2 linked regions of the Struthio camelus genome follow. The protein of the gene in region 2 purifies or fractionates together with the protein of the main gene of each other region. This does not show direct contact. Links are inferred from orthologs where the notes say so. Each region holds a gene or a part of one and is shown on either strand. Other genes may lie near its edges. The genes, in order: DNAJB11 and SDF2.

Region 1 (3,902 bases), on a different chromosome or scaffold from region 2:
CAAAGACCTTAACATACAGTTAGAGCTCTGACTACACAATAGCCTAAAGGAACAAAGCCTCCTTACTGTGAGAAGATGTCTCCATGGGAACTCTGGTGCCCATCCTTCAATCCCTCTTCGCCATATGCATCATATTGCTTCCTCTTCTCCTCGTCCGACAGCACCTGGGCAAAGGGACAAGACACTCATCTACAGCTGAACCAGGTTATTTAAACAAGCCTTTGAGATGAACCTTGCCAGTTCTCTTAACTGAAGGACAAGCAGCAGCATGTAGCACATTACAGAAGTGTTGGCTAGAACTTGCTTGCTGAAGTGGACTGGAAAGTTAAATATTTAGTAGCTAAAACCTAGAATTAGCTTATTGGAACAGCAAAAGCAAAACACACAAAATACAAACAGTACAGAGTTTACCATAGTGACTTGAAAAAGAATCAAACGGGGATAATAATTCGAATCAGCCCTATGAAGCAGAACACTCCACAGAAAGCTGTGTAATACTACTCTTGTTCTTCAGGCACATACAAAACGACTATTTCTTCAAAGAGTATTGTATAACTGTGAACAACGATGGCAAGTTTGCCCACCAAGCTGTACCTGCCAAATATGGTAACTCTGCGACAGCAAGAACGCTGGCCCTCGTTCCTAAAGGGGAGCAGAAGTCAGCAAGAAGTAACTTCAGTATTAAGACAGAATTAAGTACCCCAATGCAGGTACCGTTTCTCAGTATGTGGTCTTTGCTGTGCGTCCCGAGATGCGTAAGTTCCTGGATCAGATTTAGTCTTCCTTCCCTTTCCTCCCTGACTTGACCTGCTGATTATATTTTGGAAGACTAAAACTGTCAGGCCAGCTTCCAGAAAGCTGGCGAAGAGCAGAAACAAGGGAAGAAGCAACTCTGCTAGCTAAAGGGTGATGGTTTATGTAATGCATTAATACCTAAAGTTAAGAGAATATTACATTATCAAATTATCACAGAAACGAGAAAGTTCCTAACACATTTGATTCCCTACCATAACAATTATTTTCCCAACTTTAACATGCCTAGTAAAAGGCAAGCTCAAAACCTTTCATCTCACATGAGCCAAAATTTACTCACAGCCCATCTATACATATAGACAGATTGTTCCTGTGCCAGTGCTTCCAGCTGAGGCAGCTTTCTTTCGTCCTTAACATTTATGGTTTAGTGTGGGGTAAACAAAGAACTTGAACTTTCTGCCCTTGTTTTCCTCTGGTTAAGCGAGCTATGGCTTTTGTATGCTTTCCTCCAACAAAGTAAGTTCTCTCACCACACTGGCAGCTTCTCTGCCTTTGTCCTTTATTAGATGCAGCATCTGGGACTTGATACCATTTTGTAATAGGAGAAGGAGGAGGGATCGCACCAGGTACTAGCGCTTCCTAGGAAGCCCTCCTTGAAGGTGTAAGATGGGCTCAGTTCTTTCTCGTTCCTCTGAATCTTATGGAGAGGAAACCACAGCAGAGAGCCTGTTGGCCATAAGAGGCTTCACGCCTGGAGCTTGCTTCCCCGTGAACCCCACCTGTCCGGGAAGGCCCTCGGGAGGGCGTATTAAGGTTATCTCGAGCCATCTAGAGCACACGCGACTGCACCTTGCCTCTCGCCCCTCCCTTTTGCAGCAGCTACAGCAGGCCTGGGGAGCATCCCGCTGGGCAGGGCGGCGGGGGGGCACCCGGGCTCACCTCGTAGGCAGCGCCCAGGTCCTGGAACTTCTCCTGCGCCCGGGGGTCGTCGGGGTTCCTGTCGGGATGCAGCTGCAGCGCCAGTTTCCGGTAGGCCTTCTTGATGTCCTTGATGGAGGCGCCGCGGGACACCCCCAGGATCTTGTAGAAGTCCCTCCTGGTGGGGGCGGGGGGGGGGGGGAAACGGGGCAGAGCGGGGGGGACCCGTCAGCGCCGCCGCCCCAGGGCCGGTCGCCCCGGCGGGGGAGGGCGCATGCGCACAGAGCCGCGCGTGGGGGGGGGAGCGCGTGGGGGGGGGGGCGCGAGCACAGGCCCGCGTTGTGGGGGGGGGGGGCGCGCGCGGGCCCTGCGCTGAGGGGAGCGGGGAGGGCCGGGCCCGGCCCCGGCGGACTCACCCGGCGGCGGCCTCGCCGCACACGCAGAGCAGCAGCAGGCAGAGGCGGCCGAGCGAGGCGGGGGACATGGCAGCGCGGCCTGGCTGCCGGCGCGCCCGCCCGCAGCCGCTGGGAGCCGGGGGGGAAGGCGGCGCTCTCCGGCCGCGGCCCGCAGCACCGCAGCCGCCCGCTCCGCTCACCATAGATATGAAGCGGAGCCCGGCGACGGCCGCTGGCCAATAGGAGCGCGGCACAGCGCGCCCACCCCGCGCGCCGCCGGCCTATCGGCCGCGCACACTTCACCACCGGCTCGGCGCCGCCGGCCAATCGGCTGCCAAGACATCAGCGCCCGGCCGGCCGGCCCAATGGCGGCTGGCAACGTCACGCCGCCCCTGCCCTATCGCAGCTCCGGAGGGCAGAGCGTCGGCGCGGGCGGAAGTTGCCAAGCCTAGAGCGAGGCCGGCGAAGGGCCGTAACCAATCAGAGGTGGCGGCGTTCGTTCCGCCTCCGCGCCCGCTCGGCTCGCCAATGGCAGCCGGCTCCTCGGCGAAGAGGGCGGAGCGCCGCGCGCAGTCCTCCGGGCGGTGGGCGCTCTGGGCGGCGCCTCGCCTTGCCTCGCCTGACGGGGGAGGCCGCCATGGAGGCGGCTGCGGCGGCGGCGGCGGCGGGCCCGGCGCGGCTGTGGGTGAAGACGGAGCCGTTCCTGCTGGGGGCCGTGCGGGCGCCGCCGCCCGCCAAGCTGGGCCGCCACTACCTGCGCAAGATGGCGGCGTACGCTCGGGCGCGGGCCGCCGACGGCTGCTTCCCGCGCCTGGCCTGGCCGCGCTGGCGCCACATCGCCTGCGGGAAGCTGCAGCTGGGCCGCGGCCTGGCCTGGCTCTACTTCGAGCTCTTCGACAGCCTGGCCCGGCGCGACCCGCCGCGCCGCCTCCAGCGGGCCGAGGCGGAGGCGGCCTGCGCCAGCGCCGACCAGCTGGAGCGGCAGCGCAGCAAGGCAGGGGGGGTCCCCTCTCCCAGCCCCCTCCCCGGGCCGGGCCGGGCGGTCGTGGGTGACGGGCAGCGCCTCTTAACCTGTGTTTTGTTTCTCCCTCCCCCCCTCCTCCTTGGGTAGTTGTCAGTAGACACCCTGCAGTTCCTGCTGTTTTTGTACATCCAGCAACTGAACAAGGTTTCTCTGAGAACGTCCCTGATCGGCGAGGAGTGGCCCAGCCCCAGGACCAAGTCTCCCGACCTGACTGGGAAGTCTGCCAGTCAAAATAAGGTATTTGGGGGCGTGGGGGGTCTCCTGAGGTTGCTCCGTGAGAAAACGGCCGCCTCCCCTGGAGGCGGGCTGAAGAGCATCCCGTTTGTTGCTGGGAGAGCGTACCCTGCCTGAAGCATTTCTGCAAGTCAAATTTGAGCTACGTCTCAGCACGGTAAATGAGATGAAACCGATATGTTCTCTATCGCTTTAACTTATGAAACGGTGACACTTGCCTGCTGAAATTTCCTGTGGTCTGAGACTAACTGAAAATTTTTTCTGAGTCTTCCTAATTCTCCTTCTAAGCAGCAACAGCTTCTTTGGTTTTTCTGTTAGAGGGGTGTAGCCAGCCAAGCAGGAGGCTTTTCTTACGTTGAAGGCTGCTTTCCCACGATCTGCGTTAAATTATTAGAATTCCAAAGCGGTGTTTAGGAAAATGTCATTAAGTTGTATTGCAGAGAGATGGAGTGGCTGGTCAACTGTAGATCCGTCACGTGAAGATGATGATGTCCCACATCAAGTGTTCCTAAATAGGAGAAGTAAGCTGGATACGTCAGCTGCAGTTCATGGTCTGCTCTGTATTTGAGAGTGAATTA
Region 2 (3,567 bases):
GGAGCCCCTTCCCACTCATGACACCCCCACACCCAGCCCCAGAGCCCCCCCAAACCGCCGTGAGCCCCTTCCCACTCCCGCCACCCCCAGCCCCAGCCCTAGGGCCCCCCCCCAGGCCCCGCTCTGAGCCCCTTCCCGGCCCCGCCGCCCCAACCCGCCGCCGCCCCGCTCAGCCCGCGGGCCCTGACCGCGCCAGCAGCCCAGCGAGCAGCGCCACGACGGCGAGGCCGAGCAGCGCGGCGGGCAGCGGCGACATGGCTGCCCCCCGCCTCGGCCCGGCCCGGCGCCGCCGCTCCCCGCCGTCCGGTAACCGGGCGCCGAGCCGCCCTGCGGGGCCGACCGCCCGCGCACCCGGAGTGGCCGCTGGGAGGCGAGGGGCGGGGCCGGGCAGGGCGGCGCGGCCGAGCGGCGCTAGCGCGGAGTGAGCGGCAGCGCCCCACGCGGTGCTCGGCGCTGCGCAGCGCCGCCGGCAGCCCGCGGCGGGCAGGGGATGCTCCGGAGCCCCGGTGCAGGCAAGGGGTGCTCCGGAACGGGCCGGGACGCTCCGGAGAGGGCAGGGGTGCTCCCCGCGCAGCCAGGGCACGCACACAAACGACCGCACAGCCCTGAAGAGTTCAATTTCTTTATGGTCCCAAACCCGCGCGGAGCCTCCCCGTACCGAGAGCGGGGAGCTACAGAGGGGTCGCGTGGTGACAACAGGCCGGCGCCAAGCTGTTGGAACGCGCGGCGTTCAGCAGGTCCTCTTCTCTCGCGTTCCCGTTCGTCTCAGCGCCTCCGCCGGGGACCAGTGACCGCCGAGCCCCGCGGCAAGGGGCAGAACCCGGCATCGCAGACAGTCACAAGTTACAAAGACCGAATAACCGAGGGGCGCTGAGCACTGCTCTGTGGCCTGTGCCCAGCCTGGACAGGGCTTGTGCCCATCCCAAGGGACATCCGGGGTTCGGCGGTCCCCGACACCACGCAGCAGAGCCCCGGAGGCTCCACCCCAGTCTGTCACAGCTCGGCGTGATACTGCTGCACCTTCAGCAGCTCGCTGGGTTGCATGAAGATGCCCTCCATGACCTTCCAGTAGTTATTCTGGCTGGGGGAGGCCATGCCGTGCACCTCCTTCTGGCCGTGGATGGGCCGCCCGTACTGCTCCCCTGTCACGGAGAGGAAGACGTCGGTGGAGGTGTGCTTGAAGCGCACCTCGCTGTCCCGCGCCCAGTAGGTCCCACTGCACACCACGGTCCAGTCGTCCAGGTAGTCGCCCTCGCCGTCCTCCCCGAAGGCGCTCACCTCCTGCAACGAGGGCAGCTGTCAGGCGGGTGGCCTTGGCCCGCGCTGCCCCCACAGGGACGGTGAAAAAACGCCCATTATTGGCATTGACTGTGTATTCGCCTAAAAATAAAAAGCACCCTGTGTAATGCTGAGCGGAGAGGTCAGCGGGGATCTCTGCAGAGGTTCAGAGCACAGGTTTGCGCCTCCCTGCCGTGGCTCGCACAGCCGGAGCACGGCGGAACCGGGGACTCGGAGACCCGGCGTGGCCCCCGTCCCCATGTTTTAGGGGATCCCCAGCCCAGCACGGGGACCCGCTGCGTGGTCACGGCAGGGGACGGCTGCTGCGGATGCCTGGGCTGCTGTCGCTCCTCCTGCCGTGTCCCTCCATGACCGCAGAGCCGGGCTGCACCCGGTGTCACGGCAGGGATTCCCCTCCTGGAGGGAAGGGGTCTGGCCCCAGGGCTCCCGGTGTCACAGCACGGATCCCCCCCCCCCCGCCCCGGTGGGGAAAGGGTCTGGCCCCAGGGCTCCCGGTATCATGGCAGGGATCCCCCCTCCCCCCGGTGGGGAAGGGGTCTAGCCCCAGGGCTCCCGGGGCCGCCCGGTGCCACGGCAGGGATCCCCCCCCACCCCGATCCCTCCGGTCCCAGACCCAGAGGGGCGCCGGTGGAGGCGGGACGCGGCCGCACCTGGGCCGCACCTGGTTGCCGGAGAGCGGCGAGGTGAAGCGGTGGCTGTGCAGGTTGCGGCCGGTGCCGACGTGCGTGAGGCGGATGGCCTGGCCGCAGCGCACCGGCGCGCCCCGCTCGCACGCCGCCGCCGTGCGGCCCCGCACCCGCCAGTAGCTGTTGCCGTCGTCCGCCGCCGACACGCCGGTCACCGACTGCTGCCCGCTGCCTGCGGAGGGGAACGGCGGGTCAGCGCCGACCGGGACCGGAACCGGAGCCAGGCTCCGCCGCGGGGGCTGCCGGGAAGGGCCAGGCCCTCCCGGTGAAGGTGGGGGAGGGGCGTTACCGGATCCGTAGCGCACGTCGTGCGAGTGGAGGCGGACGTTGTGGCGCACGTTGAGCAGCTTCACTACGGAGCCGCAGGTGACGGGCCCGGGGGCGGAGCCGCCGCGCGCCGCCGCCGCCGCCGCGCCCAGCACCAGCACCAGCGCCAGCAACCGCCGCGCCGCCCGCATCCTCGCCGCCCTGCCGCCCCGCCGCCGCCGCCGCCGGAAGCGGACGTGACGTAACGCGACGCCGCTCCGGCCGGCCGGAGGTCGCGCTCGTCTGCTCCGCCCCCCTCTGGCTGCCTCTCGGCCGCAGCGGAGGCCTCCATTTTCCCTCGGCGCCAGTGCGGGCGGCGGCGGCGGCGGGTAAGGAGGCGGCGGGGAGCCGGGGACGGGGGACGCTTGGCTGGCCTGCGGCCCCCCCTCGCCGCTCCGGTACGGGCTGGAAGGGGGCGGTTGCCGGGTTGACGGCGGGGCCTCGCCGAGGCCTCCTCCGGCCGCCCCGGGGCCTGTGGCTGGTGCCGCCTTTGGGGCGGCGGCCGGGGTGGGGGGAAGCTCCCTCGGTCGCCGGTTGTGGGGTGAAGGCAGCCGGGACCGACCTACCCCAGTTGTGGGGCGAAGGTAGAGGGGCTCCTCCCCCGGTCCTTGCTGGGGGGAGGGAGGCAACCGCCCATCCCCCCCCCCAGTTGTGGGGTAAGAGCAACCGGGACCTGTTTGGCCCCCGCTTGTAGAGTGGGGGCGGTGGATGCCCATCCCTGTCCCCGGCTGTGGGGCGAAGGCAGTGGGGATCTCCCCGTGCTCAGGCCCTGGGGACCCCCCCTTGTCCCTGCTTGTGGAGCAGGGGTGGGGGTTTCCTCTGCCCTGCTTATGGGGCAAAGGCAGTGGGGTCACCCCCCTCCTCTGGTTTCCAGTTGTGGTGAGGGTGGGGAGTCTCCTCCCTAAATCCCCCTTTGGGGGAGAGGGTGAAGGCAGCAGGAGTCTCCTTGGTTGTGGATTGGGGGTGATGAACCCCCACTCTGGTCCTTGGTTATGGAGGAAAGGCTGGGGACCCCCTGCCACACACCCCTACACTTCCCTACACATCCCACTCAGGGGGTCATGATGGTGGCTTCCCTGCTGGTGTCCAGCTGTGGGTGAAGGCAGCAGGGACCTCTCCCCGCTTCCTAGCTATGGGGTCCTGGCTGCAGGACCCGGTGCTGGGCAGCCCTGTGGGCCCCCTGAAGCCGTGCACCACGGTAAGGTGCACCCTGTGGGGCGGGAGCCCCAGCTTGAGGCTGTGCTGCCGTGGGGCGACCAGGCCCGGCATGACCATC

What was found.
Region 1: the proteins of SDF2 (region 2) and DNAJB11 purify together in Homo sapiens (affinity purification with mass spectrometry; 3 studies listed by BioGRID and IntAct, counting the BioPlex papers as one, with this or other methods). This does not show direct contact. The link is inferred for Struthio camelus from reciprocal best matches to the Homo sapiens genes SDF2 and DNAJB11.

Annotation. Positions count from the first base shown.
Region 1 is NC_090950.1:4,131,076-4,134,977, forward strand, and holds the start of DNAJB11 (dnaJ homolog subfamily B member 11), read right to left. Parts: upstream 2,385-3,902; 5' UTR 2,270-2,384; coding exon 2,088-2,269; intron 1,850-2,087; coding exon 1,693-1,849; intron 165-1,692; coding exon 67-164; intron 1-66. Other genes in the region: TBCCD1 (TBCC domain-containing protein 1), read left to right, coding at 2,704-3,060, 3,178-3,327. UniProt on the Homo sapiens protein: As a co-chaperone for HSPA5 it is required for proper folding, trafficking or degradation of proteins.
Region 2 is NC_090957.1:16,588,732-16,592,298, forward strand, and holds SDF2 (stromal cell-derived factor 2), read right to left. Parts: upstream 2,478-3,567; 5' UTR 2,444-2,477; coding exon 2,275-2,443; intron 2,158-2,274; coding exon 1,961-2,157; intron 1,282-1,960; coding exon 994-1,281; 3' UTR 607-993; downstream 1-606. Other genes in the region: BLTP2 (bridge-like lipid transfer protein family member 2), read right to left, coding at 189-256.